Linked DNA regions of Coturnix japonica. The protein of the gene in region 3 interacts with the protein of the main gene of each other region in a pairwise test. Links are inferred from orthologs where the notes say so. Each region holds a gene or a part of one and is shown on either strand. Other genes may lie near its edges.

The links.
Region 1: the proteins of MID2 (region 3) and MFAP1 interact in binary tests that used the Homo sapiens proteins (3 or more experiments, as listed by UniProt). The two-hybrid records come from large-scale screens. The link is inferred for Coturnix japonica from reciprocal best matches to the Homo sapiens genes MID2 and MFAP1.
Region 2: the proteins of MID2 (region 3) and LGALS8 interact in binary tests that used the Homo sapiens proteins (3 or more experiments, as listed by UniProt). The two-hybrid records come from large-scale screens. The link is inferred for Coturnix japonica from reciprocal best matches to the Homo sapiens genes MID2 and LGALS8.
Region 4: the proteins of MID2 (region 3) and CCDC42 interact in binary tests that used the Homo sapiens proteins (3 or more experiments, as listed by UniProt). The two-hybrid records come from large-scale screens. The link is inferred for Coturnix japonica from reciprocal best matches to the Homo sapiens genes MID2 and CCDC42.

What each region holds. Positions count from the first base shown.
Region 1 is NC_029525.1:18,263,731-18,267,794, forward strand, and holds the start of MFAP1 (microfibrillar-associated protein 1), read left to right. Parts: upstream 1-1,259; 5' UTR 1,260-1,366; coding exon 1,367-1,445; intron 1,446-1,682; coding exon 1,683-1,902; intron 1,903-2,114; coding exon 2,115-2,244; intron 2,245-2,558; coding exon 2,559-2,746; intron 2,747-3,114; coding exon 3,115-3,223; intron 3,224-3,296; coding exon 3,297-3,457; intron 3,458-3,699; coding exon 3,700-3,859; intron 3,860-4,064. UniProt on the Homo sapiens protein: Involved in pre-mRNA splicing as a component of the spliceosome.
Region 2 is NC_029518.1:33,917,058-33,921,247, reverse strand, and holds the start of LGALS8 (galectin-8), read left to right. Parts: upstream 1-1,385; 5' UTR 1,386-1,389; coding exon 1,390-1,593; intron 1,594-3,439; coding exon 3,440-3,528; intron 3,529-3,896; coding exon 3,897-4,107; intron 4,108-4,190.
Region 3 is NC_029519.1:1,683,899-1,687,409, reverse strand, and holds part of MID2 (probable E3 ubiquitin-protein ligase MID2), read left to right. Parts: intron 1-236; coding exon 237-364; intron 365-819; coding exon 820-963; intron 964-3,511. UniProt on the Homo sapiens protein: E3 ubiquitin ligase that plays a role in microtubule stabilization. Mediates the 'Lys-48'-linked polyubiquitination of LRRK2 to drive its localization to microtubules and its proteasomal degradation in neurons.
Region 4 is NC_029533.1:1,626,702-1,630,674, forward strand, and holds the start of CCDC42 (coiled-coil domain-containing protein 42), read left to right. Parts: upstream 1-1,168; 5' UTR 1,169-1,384; coding exon 1,385-1,473; intron 1,474-1,790; coding exon 1,791-1,896; intron 1,897-2,011; coding exon 2,012-2,116; intron 2,117-2,591; coding exon 2,592-2,789; intron 2,790-3,482; coding exon 3,483-3,692; intron 3,693-3,973. UniProt on the Homo sapiens protein: Essential for male fertility. Required for sperm development.

The DNA of each region.
Region 1 (4,064 bases), on a different chromosome or scaffold from region 3:
ACTGGGAGCGGAGCAGGAGCTGGGCACAGAGCTCTAATTGTCATCGGGACATCAAGGCCAGGAACACCAGGAAGGACTTGCCTACCCCCAAGCACTGCTGCTGCAGGAGCACAAAGCCACCAGTGCCCGAGGCAGCGGGACAACTGCAGCACTGGGGTCTGGCTGCACGCACAGCAGAATCACAGGGACCCTGGAGCGGCCAAAAGCTCTGCCTGGGCCTGCTCAGTGGCAGCTCTTCTCCTGCCACAGCACCAGCAGGGTCAGGCTTACCCAGGAGCTGTTGTGCCCAGGGGACCCACCCTGCCAGCACAAGGGAATGCTGAGGTCAGTCCCCAGGAGCAGGTCTCACTGCCTGGCACCCCCGTGCTGATTTCCCGGAAGATAAAACCTCTTCCCTTCTTTTGGGGAGGCACCGCAGCGCTGCAGACGCGGTTGTGGTGGCTGGTGACCCAGTTTTTCCTGGCTTCAAGAGAAATCTTATCTCCTGTGGTTGGCTGCTACCGCGTGGGCAGCTGCTACGAGTTGGCGCTGGGCTGCTTTCCTGCGAAACCCAACTGGTGTGTGAAGGGCTCTGACGTGAGCAGCAACAGCTGGGGCAGGAAACCTGCCCGCTTCCATGTAGGGGCTGCTCCTGCGGGTAATTCCCTCTGCCCTGGGCCGGTGCTGCGGGAAAGTCCTGGCAGCCAGAGGGCGGGGGACAGCCCGGGGAGAGCCCTGCAGAGCGATGGTAACCGGTAAATTCAGCACCGAGGTACGCCGCGCATTCAGCACGATGGTAACCCGGGCATTCCAAGCACCGATGGGCAACCCGTTTCAGCACCGTGGTAACCCGTATTCAGCACCGATGTAACCCGGTATTCAGCACCGATGGTAACCCGGTATTCAGCACCGATGGTAACCCGGTATTCAGCACCGACACTGAGCGCAGCCTCCAGCCGCAGCCACACGAGCAGCAGGGGCAGGACTCGGCAGCCGGCCCCGGGAATCCCGGGCAGGGACCCGGCGCGGGCCGGGGCTACGTGCGGCCGGCTCCGCAGCACGTCACCACTCCCGAGCCCCGAAGCGATGAGCGGAGAGATCACAGCGGGGCCGATCTGAGCCCTGAGGGGAACCGAGCCCTGAGGGGAACCGCCGCTGCACCGCGACCGGACCGGGCCGAAACCAGCTCCACATCCGGCCACAGGAGCCGGAAATGACCTCCACGCTGAGCGTCACTTCCGGCGGCTTGCGACGGTTCGGCGCGCGTTCACTTCCGGTACGCCGGCGGAAGCGGGAGTTGCAGTTCCGGGTGAGCGGTCGGTCTGTCGGTCTGTCGGTCGGTCGGTGCTGTGAGCGGCTGCGGTTCGTCCCGTCCCGTCCCGCCGCCATGTCGGCCCCCAGCGCTCTCGTGAAGCAGCCGCCCATCCAGTCCACGGCGGGCGCCGTGCCCGTCCGCAATGAGAAGGGTGAGTGCGGGGCGCCGGGAGGGGCGGGGGGCGCGGGCACGGCGGCGGCGTGAATGTTCATGGCATGAATGCACATGGCTGCCCATGGCGCCCTGCTCATGGCCCGGCTGCCCATGGCTGCCCATGGCTGCTCACGGCTGTTCATGGCCCGGCTGCCCATGGCGCCCTGCTCATGGCCCGGCTGCTCATGGCTTCCCGCTGCTGTTCCTCCCGCTGCTGTTCCCCCCCCTCCCGCAGGCGAGCTGTCTATGGAGAAGGTGAAGGTGAAGCGGTACGTGTCGGGGAAGCGGCCCGACTACGCGCCCATGGAATCCTCGGAGGAGGAGGACGAGGAGTTCCAGTTCATCAAGAAGGCGAAGGAGCAGGAGGTGGAGCCCGAGGAGCAGGAGGAGGAGGTCGCCAACGACCCGCGGCTGCGGCGGCTGCAGAACCGCATCACTGAGGACGTGGAGGAGCGGTGAGTGCTCGGCTCCGGGCTCTGCTCCCTCCTCGTGCTCCCCCCCAGCTTTGTGTTTCCGGGCTCCTGAGCACGCAGGGGATGCCTCTTTCCTTCACACGCTTCGTGGTCCCGGGTCTGACTACGGTCTCATTAGAAACAGATCGCAAAGATTTCTCTTCTTTAGTCTCCTTGTGTTCAGAGCTTCGTAGTCGAGTGGACATTTGTTGCAGGCTGGCAAGACACCGCAAAATTGTGGAGCCTGAAGTGGTCGGAGAGAGTGATTCTGAGGTAGAAGGTGAAGCGTGGCGTGTGGAGAGAGAGGACACCAGTGAAGAGGAAGAGGAAGAGATCGATGATGAGGTTCGTTATATTGCTGAGCAGATGTGGCCTGGGAAAGTCCCCTTAGGCCCTGTCTGGAATTCGTGCTTGCAGACACACGTGAACTGTGGTGAGACTGGGTGGATGTTGGGACCTGAGTTAAAGCCAGCTGTGGTGTGACCACAGCCTGTGGGTTATGGGGCACCAGGGAGGTCACCTGCGTTCTGAGGTGTGGGCTTATATAAGCAGTCAACATCATATCATATAAGCTCAACATCATGCTTTTTATATGGAAAAAGGAAGGAAGCGATAGTGGGGCTGGTTGGCTGAGTCTGTGTTTGATGTGTCTCCATTAGGAGATCGAGCGTCGGCGTGGGATGATGCGTCAGAGAGCGCAGGAGAGAAAAACTGAGGAGCTGGAAGTGATGGAGCTGGAAGATGAGGGCAGATCTGGAGAAGAGTCTGAGTCAGAGTCTGAGTACGAGGAGTACACAGACAGCGAGGATGAAATGGAGCCACGTCTCAAACCTGTCTTCATCCGCAAGTAGGTGATAAGGTGATACAGCTGCATGGGCCAAGCACTGCATCAGGGATGGGCAGTGACTGACCTGGTAGGGCATGGCTGGGTACTTCCAACTGGGGACTTTAGGCAGGTACAGCACAACAGAAACCAGGTAGTGTGCTCCAACATGTTCCACAGCCAGTAGCAGGGTCTCCCATCACCTTTGTGCATGTCTGCAGATGTGAGGAGACTGAGTATGGTCGCTCTTGAATGAGCAAAATCAGAAAGGAGAGAGCCTTGGGACTTGGCCCTGCCGTGGGGGGCATAAAGACTAAAAGAGGCTGCAGTGGGAGCAGAGGTCTGCAGTGGCATGTTGAAAGGCTGAAGGCTTTTGTGGTCCCTGCTCACAGGAAGGACCGGATCACAGTTCAGGAGCGAGAAGCAGAAGCCTTGAAGCAGAAGGAGCTAGAACAGGAGGCAAAGAGATTAGCAGAAGAGAGGCGCAAGTACACACTCAAGGTACAGCGGGGCAGACTGGGGCATGCATGTTGGGGCAGCCATTGCAGTGAGCTGAGCTTGGTCTTGGCTTCAGATCGTGGAAGAGGAGGCAAAGAAGGAGCTGGAAGAGAATAAGCGCTCGTTGGCAGCACTTGATGCTCTCGATACAGACGATGAGAATGATGAGGAGGAGTACGAGGCTTGGAAAGTACGTGAGCTGAAGCGCATCAAACGGGATCGTGAAGAACGAGAAGCGTAAGTACTGTCTGCTTAAGGCAGGGGAGGGTCCCTGCAGTCCCAGGCCCTGCAGGACAGCGGGCAGTTGAGGCGTCTCTTTCTCAGTCTTTGTTTTGGCAGCATCAGGAATTTTCTTGAGGTGCTTTACTCCATTATGGAGTCAGTCAACGTATTCGTCAGAAAGTCCCGGGTGGCAGCAGCTGTCCCATCTTGGGAGGGCACTGAGGGATGCAGGGGCTCAGGGTTTCTCTTTTGCCCAGCATGGAGAAAGAGAAGGCAGAGATCGAGCGGATGAGGAACCTGACAGAGGAGGAGCGCCGTGCCGAGCTGCGAGCCAACGGCAAAGTCATCACCAACAAGGCAGTGAAGGGCAAATACAAGTTCCTGCAGAAGTACTACCACCGTGGCGCCTTCTTCATGGTGAGTTCTGCTGCCAGGCCTGGGGCTGCGTGGACCACGTGGCTGTTTTGGGGGAGTTTTCCCTAGTGGTACCCAAGTAAGGGCTGGCCAAGCACACAGGACCAGAGCTGGCCCTCAACAGCAGCGTGCTGCTGAAGTGACTGAGGGGATCTGAGGTGCCTGTCAGGTCTGGCAGGCAGGGTGAGTAAAGACACGAATGCAGTTC
Region 2 (4,190 bases), on a different chromosome or scaffold from region 3:
GCCCTTTGCTTCCTACTGTGTCTTTGGCCAGTATCCCTTAGCTTCATGTGGGATAAAGCTGAAGAAAAGTAGTTCAGCCCCTAGCACTTACTGCCAGGTTACACAGCTCTGGAAATGAAAATGGCTATTTATTTTGGAAAAACATTTCTGTACCATATCTCTTTTCATGGGCTGCAGGTAGGGGTCAGCTGCAAATGGAGAGTAATTAAGGCCCAGATGAGGGTTATTTGTGTTGCCCCATGCAGTAGTGATTTTTATACAGGGTTCTGTTTCAGTATACACAATGTCAGGAAGCAGCTGGTAAAAAGCTGTGTACCTTGTGTGCAGTATCGCTTGCTAGAATAGCACGATACTTCTTCAGTGGGTTTTGGCTTCTTCTCCCAGGCAATAAACAGGACCTGAGAAAATGGCCACAAGTTGTGCTAGAAGAGGTTTAGATTAAACATAAGGAAAAACTTTTTCTCTCAAAGAGTGGTCAGGCACTGGAATGGCTGCCCAGGGAGGTGGTGGAGTTGCTGTCCCTGGCAGTGTTCAAGAGGCATCTGGATGAGGAGCTACAAGATATGGTTTAGTAGCTTGTTGTAGCAATGGTGATGGGAGGATAGTTGGACTAGGTGATCTTGCAGGTCCTTTCCAACCTTGTGATTCAGTGATGCTTAAACCAAGCATTTAGCTTTGATGTTTCAAAACATGATCAAATTTCTTGGAAATATATTTAAAGTTATACTTTGAAGAGTTTAACTTCATGTAGTTCTACTTTTGTTTTTCTGATTAAAACTTTTGGCTTTTCAAAGGGTCCACGCTTTGGAGCAGCCAGATCAGTGAACATCTGAATACGCTCTAAGAGTTGTCACACAGGACTGGCTGACTTGAACTGGAGGAGGGAAGATGATGTCCTTGGATGGACTGCAGAAGAATATCAGTAACCCGGTAACTCTTATGTCAACAACTCCTCCCCCAGGAAATGGAACTTTGCTCTTTAATGTCAGAAATTAGCAGGGCATTCCTATGGCTCAGAGTGTTACTGAGAGCTCTTGATGTTGCTTGGGTGTGTGAGGAAAATCCTCATAGGTGGCTGTAGTATTTCTCTACTTGTACTCTGCAGCAGTGGCCTTGCACTGGCATGAGAAATGGGCTGGAGCTCTACTTCTCATTGTTCTTTAAAAACAGTTCTTTTGAGCCTTCAGGAGATGGTTATTTGTCATACTTCTAGCACAGAATATTAAAAAAAAAGCAACACCACTAGGTCTGTATAGAATCTCTGTGGAATAAACAGTGCTACGTAACTGTACAGGACTTCCTTTTCTCTTGTAGTTCTGCACTGATACAGTCCAGTGCCCTCAAGTGCATCTGACTGTTCAGTTCCACTGCTTGTTTGTTGCTTGTGAAATGGATAGACTAATAGATGATGGGGAAATGGCTTTAGGTTTCTTCACAAGAATCCATCTGGGGGAAGAAGGAAGGATGTGTGGAGATGGAAATAGAGCTGTAAGGACTGAATTGCAAAAGGGAGATGTGAAGAGGATCAGTAAATGTACAGGTGACATTGTCTGTGTAAGGAGAAGAGGAGGAGTTCAGCAAAACTGGTTGACTGTAAGTGGTCTGGTGAATATGGTGGGTGACAAAACCAAGCTGGAGAACATAAAGGAGTATTATTGGGGCTTAGGCATCAAGAGCCTGGGGGAGAATAAGAGCAATTATTTGGAGACAGAGGTGTGAAAAGTTGTTCCAGGCTCCAGACAAAGTCTGCAAATTGGTCTTTGAGGCCTTTCAAACTGAGTTAGTGTTGGCTAGTTGGCTTCATGGGGAACTTCTGGAGGTTTGTGAGAGAGTTGGGATGGAATCAAGTAGTGGCACAAGCATTATTCTTAATAGATGAGTTAAAATTAGCACAGCTCTTGAGACGTGAAGAAATGACAAGCACATTCTGTAATGATGGTCATTAGGTCTGTAGTATTACGCCCAGGAAATGCTCTATTATGGCCATGCAGATTCCATGACTGAGCTTCTGGACAAGAGATGGCTGACTTTTTTCTCTATTAAATGTATCCTTGCTACAGTGTTAAATAACAGTGTATACAGTGTATAACAGTGTACACAGTATACAGTGTATAACAGTGTATACAGTGTATAAATAACTTTGACCCACTGGAGTATTCAAATCCCAGTGTTCCTGGGCTGTGTCTGTGTGTTTCTTATTGGTTCATCTCTGGAGACCGAACCAGTAACTTATACCCTGCTGTGATTCTCAAAGCTACTGCCCCTCAGGAGCAAGCAGTGTGTTTAAACTGCATGATGTGCAGAAAATATGCAGAATGTATTCTTTCTTACGTATTATTATTTGGATGAAATTGAGTGTCTTTTGTACAGCTTGTAGACTATGGAACTAAGCTCCTACACTACTGCTAGTAAGTAAATTGATTCAATCAGTTTATTTGTTATTTCACTTATACTGCCTAATTTTATGTTCTCATCCTCCTCTACTGCAGTTGGCTAAGCCAGTAAAATCCACAAGTCTTTAAACAGTTTGGTCAGTTTCAAGCTTATACTTGTGAAGTAGGTCTGTATTATCTCTAATGTAAAAGGTGACTGCAAAGAAAGGTGCAATATGTGGGTAGCTGAGAAGGGAAGGAAAGGGAGAAGATGGAAATGAACAACGCTCTGGATTTAGGAGATTTTTTTTTTGTCATTCCCATTCTGTGTAATCAGTGATAGAACTAGAGGGAATGGTTTTAAGCTGCGCCAGGGGAGATTCAGGCTGGACATTAGGAAGTATTACTTCTCGGAAAGGGTAGTCAGGCATTGGAATGCACTGCCCAGGGAGGTGGTGGAGTCACCAACCATGGGAGTATTCAAGAAACGTTTGGATGTTGTGTTGAGGGATATGATTTAGCCAGGAAGTATTGGTAATGGCTGGACTGGATGATCTTCTAGGTCTTTTCCAACCCTGATAATTCTGTGATTCTGTGATACTCTCCACCAGAGTTGCTGCTTTTCCAATCACAGTTTTTCAAAAAAGAGCAAGCAAAGAGACAGCAGCTGTAGTCTAGTGTTAAAAAACTGGTGCAAGATGCCTCCTGCAACCAGCAGTAGTTAGTCCTTGACAATGACCTAATTTGAAGGGGAATTCTATATTAAAAGTGGAGCAGTAAAATATTGCCATTATTCTTTAGAGAGCTAGGCATGAAGACTGTAAATGTTTAGCTTTAATCTTATCTGAGAAGGCTGATCTTCAGTGATGAAAATCTTGGTTTTTCCTTCTCTTCGTGGCAGATATTTAATGCTTTACTAGTGTTTCATTTAAATGGAATACTAGTTGTCTTTCTTTTAATGTGCTAGAGCATCACTTAATTATCAAAAATATTGTTTAAAAAACTATATATTTATTTTGCCTCTGTCACAAATGGTTATTTCTGTCTTTTTTCCCTCCTTCTTCTAGGTCATTCCCTATGTCGGGACGATTCTTGGTGGCATTGTTCCTGGAGAGCTGATTGTGATACATGGGAATGTTCCTGATGATGCAGACAGGTAGTAACTACAGTATCACTTTGTGAATTAACATAAGGTGAACAAGCCTGTAATTAAGAAAATGTTTCCACGTGTCCTGTGATGGATGGCAGACAAAGACTTCATTTTTAGATGAAGCAATAGTGTCACAGAGGATACAACCTTAAGTGGTTTATGAAAGTTTTGTGATGAAAACTGGAGGATAAACTGGTTTTTTGCTTTCCATTGATCTTCTTCCATGGTTTTGCTTTGTCTGCTTTGGCATTATTTTTCTGTCATGTCATTCCACATGGCACATGCATATTTATCTGAAGAGGTTATCAGTTGAACTTGTATATGATTTCTTGACAGAATGAACTAAATGCGATTTGTTTTATTTTTATGTTTAGGTTCCAGGTGGATTTACAGTGTGGCAGCAGCATAAAGCCTCGAGCTGATGTGGCCTTTCATTTTAACCCTCGCTTCAAATGGTCTGGCTGCATTGTTTGCAACACCCTGGAGAGGGAAAAATGGGGCTGGGAAGAAATCACTTATGATATGCCTTTTGAAAAAGGAAAGCCATTTGAGATTGTCATCATGATTTTAAAGGATAAATTCCAGGTGAGTTTGGGTTAATTCTTGGTCCATTTGTTAGGCCAATAAAAGAGAGGGATTTAGCATACGCACAATATAATCAGAAGCCT
Region 3 (3,511 bases):
GAGCAACAGCAGTGGGAGCAGCCATGTGGGGAGAGCCAAGATGGGGCATAGGGATGAGACCCCCAGCAATGGACCCCCAGCTCTATGCCCCATCCCTGCCACTCCACTGGGTGTTGTGCTGCATCACCTGCTGTCCCCTGCTGTCACCGTGGGGCTGCTCACCCCCTTCCCATCAGCCAGGAGTCGGGAGCAGAGTGCACCCCGATGCGGATTGATGGGCTCTTCTCTCCTTTCAGGGTCGCCATGGCAACTGCATCCTCCCAGGTTCTAATTCCTGAAATTAATCTCAATGACGCCTTTGAAAACTTCGCCTTGGATTTTTCCAGAGAGAAGAAACTGCTGGAGGGTTTGGATTATCTCACTGGTGAGCACACAGGCACATAACCCCTGCTCTGCCCCCCAGCACTGCCTCCTTCTCCCCACTGAGCGCTGATGGGGGGGATATTAAACCAGGTCAATAGTGGGCCATAGTAGGACAGAGGCCACCGGGTTGTCCCCAAGGCAGTGATGTGTTCCCATCATCCTGTTGGCACCTCAGGAGTTCAGAAAGTGGGGAAAAAATGTTGCTCTCCACCAGTGAGGGAGGAGGTGATGACCTCGGGGTGGGCAGGGGGACAGCCAAGGAGACATGGGAATAAACTGCTTACTGTGCCATGCTGGGGCTGGAGAGCCAGGGGGAGGACTGGGGGCTGTGGAGAAGTGAGGATGTTGTTACTCAGTGACTTGTAAATGAGGCTCTGCTCCCTGCGTGAGCCCCATAAAGAGCAAATAAAGCCCAACAATGAGGAAACATCAGTTTGTTGAATTCATTCCCTGCAGCACCGAACCCTCCGTCTGTGCGTGAGGAGCTCTGCACCGCCTCCCATGACACCATCACAGTCCACTGGACATCAGATGATGAGTTCAGCGTGGTCTCTTATGAGCTGCAGTACACCATCTTCACTGGACAAGCCAACTTCATCAGTAAGTCACTGCTTATTGAGCAGCCCCCAACCCAAAAGTAGACACTGCAGAAGTGGGGATGCAGATCTCATGTTCTATGGGAGGGCAGGGCCTGGTGCATCAGCTGGGGGCTCAGATGGGGAGCAGCAGGAGATGCCTGGGGGCTGGGCTTTGTGGTTTAATTTCCTCCCTTCCTACAGTGATCAGAATGGACTCTCAGCTCTTTAGCACCAGGTGATTGCCATGGCAGAGGGAGGTGGTGGAAAGGGCAGGGCTTAGAGCTGTGATGGCCCAGCAGCCCCCAAGGATGGGAATGGCACATCTGCACTCTCCATCGAGTCTTCCTCATCACTCACTGTCAGAAAATGTTATTTAAAAGCCAAACACAGGAGCTGGTTTGGTTGCACTTGGAGGAAAGGGACATATGTGGGGTAGAAGAGTGGCTCGGTCAGAAAGCCAAGGACTGTTTGGCATGATTTCATGTTATGCAACCTTATTCCTGAGATATGAGGGGGTTTGCATGGATGTGTTAATGGGAGCACAAAAGTACATCTTTCAGTCTGTCCATCTTGGAGCGGTGCCTTCAGGAGAGCAGGATGGCCATGCACTGCTGTTCTGCTCCTGGTTGTACCTTGGGACTCTCAGGGCTGGAGGATGTGTTCCCCAGATGCTTTGCATGGACTTTTTGGGCTTCCATTAGCTTATCTAACCCCACAGGGAGACGAAGGCTGGGGAAGGCTGTGAAGTGCCCCGTGCTGCATGCAGGAAGCTGCTGCAGCCAGGTCCTGCTGGCTGCTCCCAGAGCTGATAAATGTGTATCCCCACAGCCAGGAGTGGAAAATGCTGATTGATTTCCTCTTGGCCGGGGGTTACCCAGTCCTACAGCATCCAGATGTCCCCACCCTGCTGCCCTGTGCTCCTACAAACACCTTTTCTCCAATGTTTTGCTCTTCTCTCAGAGCTTGGTGAGGATTATAGGCATCCCCAGCCTCCATCCCCACCCCAGCTGAGGAAGGACCATGGACTGTTTTGAGCCATTAAGGGGCTGAGAAGCACTTTGCCCCACTCTTGGCATGGAGCAGGGCTGGATCAGAGCCCACTAAGGGATCAACCCCTTGGGATGGACAGTGTGAGCCCCGAGCCCTGTGCTCAGTTCCTGAGGGTGGGATGGGCTTTGGAAGAGGTGGGAATGACACGCTGTGGCAAGGAAAGCCCAAAGGGGCAGGTGTCTGCAGTAGCTTCCTTGGCCTCCTTTACTCGCTCTACGAAGAAGGAGGAAAGAAAACATCAGTTAACACCTCGGAGCAGAAAATGAATAATATATTGTCACTTGCAATAACATGTTCAGGACCGGGAGACGGAAAAGTCTGAGTTCTGCAGGAACCCATGCGTGAAGAGGTGATGAAAATAGCACACAGGGCTCACCAAGCAGAGCACCAGTGTGCTCCCAGCAAGGCACGTACCTGCTCATGGCACACAGCTGCTCGTGCACAGCTTCCCCTGCCCGCTGCCTTTACATCTGAGTGCTTGGCAGGACGCAAGTGTTTTGTATAGATGACAAACGCTGAGATAAAAAGGATGTGTTCCAGCTTTGGCAAGGAGAGGAGCCCTCAGCCCTCAAGGCCAAGCCTTTCTTGGTGGCTTTGAAAAGGACACCCGCTTTGGAGGCTGAATTGCTCCATGATTGCCATCTCTCAGCTGCTCTGCCCTTTGCGGGGCCGGATCCCAAGGTGGCTCTTGGCTGCAGGGAGATAACAGCCACGGCAGCTCTGCCCGCGGGATACCGTCGCTATCATTGCTGTTGGATTTTCTACTTCAGATAACGTTGCTCTGCTCCCCTCGGCAGCTTCCATGTGTACTTCAGACCAAATCCTTGCTGACAATGACTGCAAGCTCTGGCTGAGCGAGCCACGGGGGAGGAATAATCCCAGTGCTGTCCCCACGTGAGCCTTGGAGGAGGAGGTGTGGAGTGTTTTCCCGGCTCCCGACGCACTGCTGTGCGCACACACATGGATGACAGGTTGCTGGAATCCCTCCTCCAGCAGCACGCCTTCCCAGCCCACTCCTCACGCGCCGTCTCACGCCTCGCCCCCAGACCTGCTGGATGCAGGGAGCATCCCCAGCTCCTACTGTTGAGCATCACTGATCCTCCTTATGCTGAAGGCAGCACTCCCGTGTTGCAGTATCAGCCCCAGAGCTGCTGATAGCCTGGATCATCTGTGGCTGCAGTGGATTCCATGGGGCATTGACACCCACAGCCCCTTGGTGCTAGCTCAGCTGTTGCCCCCAGAACTCGCAGCTCCCTTTGCCTTCAGAAGGTCATTCTCGCCCTGGGACCTGCTGCACACTACACTGCTTTTCTCCTTTCCTGTAGCACCGTGTCATGGAATCGCAGAATGGCTGAGGTTGGAAGGGACCTTAAACATCTGCTGTGGGTTGCAAGGTGGCACTCCATTATTAATACAGCACTATTTCAAGTGTTTTCAGTATATCTGCCAAACAAGCCCCTGCAGCATTAGGGCTTGGGGCCTCCGCAATCTCCTAATTCATTTCTATTCCCAGAAAGAGC
Region 4 (3,973 bases), on a different chromosome or scaffold from region 3:
AAAAAGCCGTCTGAGGGCATTTCCACAGCAGCCGTGAAATGGATCCAGGTTTGGGGAAGACCCACCAGGACAGGGCATGGCGTTGACTGTCACAGCTCTTGGACCAGCATCTTCTGAATGGGATCTGTGTGCTTCCTCTTAAACAACAGAGCGTGGTGAGCAAAAACCCAACGGGTGGGTGTTACAGCCCCCCCTGAGTGATGAAACACCCTGGAGGCAAAGGCAGAGGAGAAGCCCTGATGGTAGACATGAGCAGACAAGCAGCTGATGGCGCCGCCTGCTCCCCAGAGCTGCCTGTCATTGGTAGGGCAGTGTCATGTAACGGGGAATTCTCAGTGAGGCTGGGAAACCAGCCAGTGTTTCCCCTTGGAAATGCCTGCCTCCAATTATTCATAGTGGTAATGAACTTTAACTGCCTGAGCTGCTGATCGCAGCACCCAGCAGCCACCTCAGGCTGCTCTGCTCTCCCCCCACATGATTGCACGCCCCCAGAAGCCCAGATGGAGTCTGCCTGACCCACTGGGATGGAGCAGCTCAGTGCTGTCCATAGGGAAGTCACCTGTGGCTGATTTTAACCTCCATAATAAAAGCCAAGTGCATCCCTGGCTTTGCCTTGGTCATTTGTTTCTCAATGAAGCATCTCTCACACCACTAATGGTCCCCACCTGTACTATATATCTTCCTCCTGCTTAAAACAGACAGAGCTGGCAGCCTCTCCCCAGCTTGCTGGTTCATAATGAGCACAGGGTGATGTTTGCCTGAAAGTAATTTCCCTGATACAAGTCAGGGCTGTAACCAAAATGAAGACTTCTACCTGCAGAGTCTCACCACTGAGGCAGGGGCATTTCACATGCAGTAGCCTGCAGATGGATCTTGCATGTAAGGGCTGAGGAAGGTGGAGGTTGCCCTTGGCAAACATAGAGGGTGAAATGTCCAGACCTGGAGGTCACTGCCAGCTGTGGGTGGGGGACCTTTGGGAGTAAAGGGTTCATCACAAGGCACCACCCCAGCCCATAGGGCAGCAGAACCCTTCTGGCAGCCCAAGACACAGCATGGGGTGCGGAGCAGGCAGGGCACACATGCACTCTGCAGTCCCTTCCATGAGGATGTGGGGTATCACACTGCTTTGGTCTCCATATAACTGCCTGAACGTCCTCCAACTGCCTTGGAACCTGTTCCATGCCAACCAACCACCAACAGTCAGCAGCAACAGGCACAGCCAGGGCACAGAATGCCCTAAGAAAGCAGAAGCAGGAGGCTCTCAGGGCTCCTATCCTTGCTGAGTGTTTCTCCTATGCACTGCTGAGCCCGTGGGCTTACAGGGCAGCTCCTGGGGTGAAGGGGCAGCAGCTGCACCAGGATTTGAGCTCTCTGGGCCGTGCTGATGGCTGAAGCAATGGCCACCGTGGACAATGAGGACCTGTCAGACTATTTCAGCATGCAGTACAGGCAGAATCTGCTGCCCTTGCTCAAGTAGGGAGTTCCTCCAGCCCGTCCATCCACTTCTGTTTCCCCCACCCCTGCAAGCTCACATCCCTTATCTCCCCCACTCATCTCCTTACCTCCACCACTCCAACCTCTCCTTTCATCTCCCCTCCTCAGCCCTGCAATCCCTCCTTGCTGTCTCCATGGGATCCCCTCTGGGGAGCAATCCACCCTGGTTCTCGGAGACTCTTTGCTGTTGGACCAGCTCTGAGACAGGTCCTGAGTGGGCAATGGGGCACAGCAAACCAACACCCTGCCAAGGTGCTGAGCCCAGTCGGTCACCACAATGAATGCTTCTGTGGCAGGAAACTCAAACTGACCGAGGAGGACTCTCTGTCTCCATTTATTCGCCTCCAGGAGAAGAAGAAAGAAGCCCAAGAGATGCAAAGGATTCTGGAGGAGAAGGAAGAGGTGAGAAGGGTGGAAGGGCACTGGTCACTGCTGGGGTGGCTTTTTGGAGGGTGGCAGTGCATTTGTGGCTGGCTGCATCACAGACAGCTGAGCTGTGTCCCCTGTGTGCTGCCAGGACTTCAGGGTGAGGATTGAGAACCTCACCTGCAGGTGGAAGGAGTTGTGGGCTAAGGAGGCCAAGCTGAAGGCTCACATGAAGAAATCTGAGAGGACCCTAAAGGTACAGCTGCCCCTCCTCCATCCATCCAGCACAACACTGAGATACAAAGCCAATTCCTCCCCTTCCCTGGGAAGAAGGACTGTGGGCACCCCTCTCTGCATGGATCCCCTTTAAGCCCTAAGGGCAGCTCGGGACTTTGTGCCAGATATGCAAAGCCCTGGCAGGGCTTGTGCAGCACGCAGCTCATCCTGCACCACTGTGACCCCTGAGGGCCCCAGGCAACCCCCAGGAGGGGCTCATACTGTCCCCACTGATTGATAGCAGTAGGTCTGAAAAGCAAAGTGCCTCCCAGGGTCTCGTCTCCAAGACCAGAGTGTTGGTGTTAATGAGATGGTCCCATTAAGCAGGGATGGAATGTGTTCCCAGGGAAAGATAACTCCTTACAGCGTTGCTGAATGACATAACTCCTTCTTCTCTCGCTTTCCTTTCCCTGTGTGCATGTTTATGTGCATGTATTTATGGGGAACACTGCTAGGACAATGATAAAATGCGAATCCAAGCTCTAAAGAAAGCTGGCAAAGAAAGGGAGTTGATGATACAGAAAGAGAATGAGCTGCTGAGTGCTAGGAAGGAACTGGAAGAGCTGAAAAATAAGCACCAGAAACTCAGTGTTGGGGTGCAGAATTACTCCATCTTTGGAACATACCTGGAGGATGTGGTGAAGATCTCACAGGTGAGTGTGGGAAGCAGTTCATGGCCACAGGGAGGGCCTTACATGGGCATTAAACATGGAAAAGAAAAGATATATTCAGGAAAATCATAGCATTTGGTCAAGCCCAGAGACCTCAGATGGGATGGGAAGAGGTTCCCTGTAAGTAGGGTGAACCAAAGGGACCAGAGTTAAAGGAAGAGAACCAGAAAAGGAGGGGAAGACTTGGGAAAACTAAAGGAAAACTATTTAAAGGGGGTAAAGGCACAGAGATGAGTGGAATGGGGAAAACTTTGAGTCACTGTTTCGTGTCACATTGATGGTGTGGGAGGAGTGTTGTCTAGGGATGGGAACCCAAGCTGTATCCTTTCAAGGAAGCCCGGGCATCATTCCATGCATCACTCATTCTCCTGGGATGCCAGCTGGCCCCTTCCCAGCTCCAGGTAGATCAGTGCAGGCAGTTGCATTTGTGCTTTGTTTTATTGGAGTGCTGCTCCTTTGTAGTAGAGGTGTGATGTCTCACCTTGCTTATGGCACCTCTGGGAACAGCCCAACTGGAAATTACCAGGGATGGGGCATTGCTCTCATCCCAACTTGGCTGGCAGTCCATCAACAAGGGAAGACACTCCAGCTGGGGCAGGTGCTGCACCTCATGAACAGTGCAAGACTTTCCATTATAATGGGGGGGGTGGGATTACTAACCCCGCTGTGCTGCAGTTTGAGGAGATCCAGGCCATCATGTGGCGCTACAGGATGTTGGTGAGGATGCGCAAAGCCCTTCTGCAAGCAGAACGTGGGCTCAGGGAGGCAAAAGAGCAAGCTGAGGAATTCAGCCAGTGTGCTGAAGATGGGAGCCTGCAGTACAAGGACGACCTGGATCAGCTTGAACTGCGTTATCAGCAGGCTACCAAGGATATTCTCACCTGGGTGAGGAAAGATGGGACAAGCAGGGGAAGATCTCCCAGGCCTGGAATGAGTTGAGTCTTATCAGGCAGAGATGGAGGGTGGGAGGGTAGCAGTGGGATTCCCAGCTCCCAGGGAGCACAGATGGGGTGAGACCCATCAGAGCGAGGGCTGCAGGAGCCAGCGGAGAGATGGAGAATCTTCTGGGGGTAACAAACAACTATGGTGGTATCTGGATCAGCTTATATCACACCAAGCTGGACCACCTCCAGCAAGCACGTGGTCCTCACAGCAAAACAGATGAC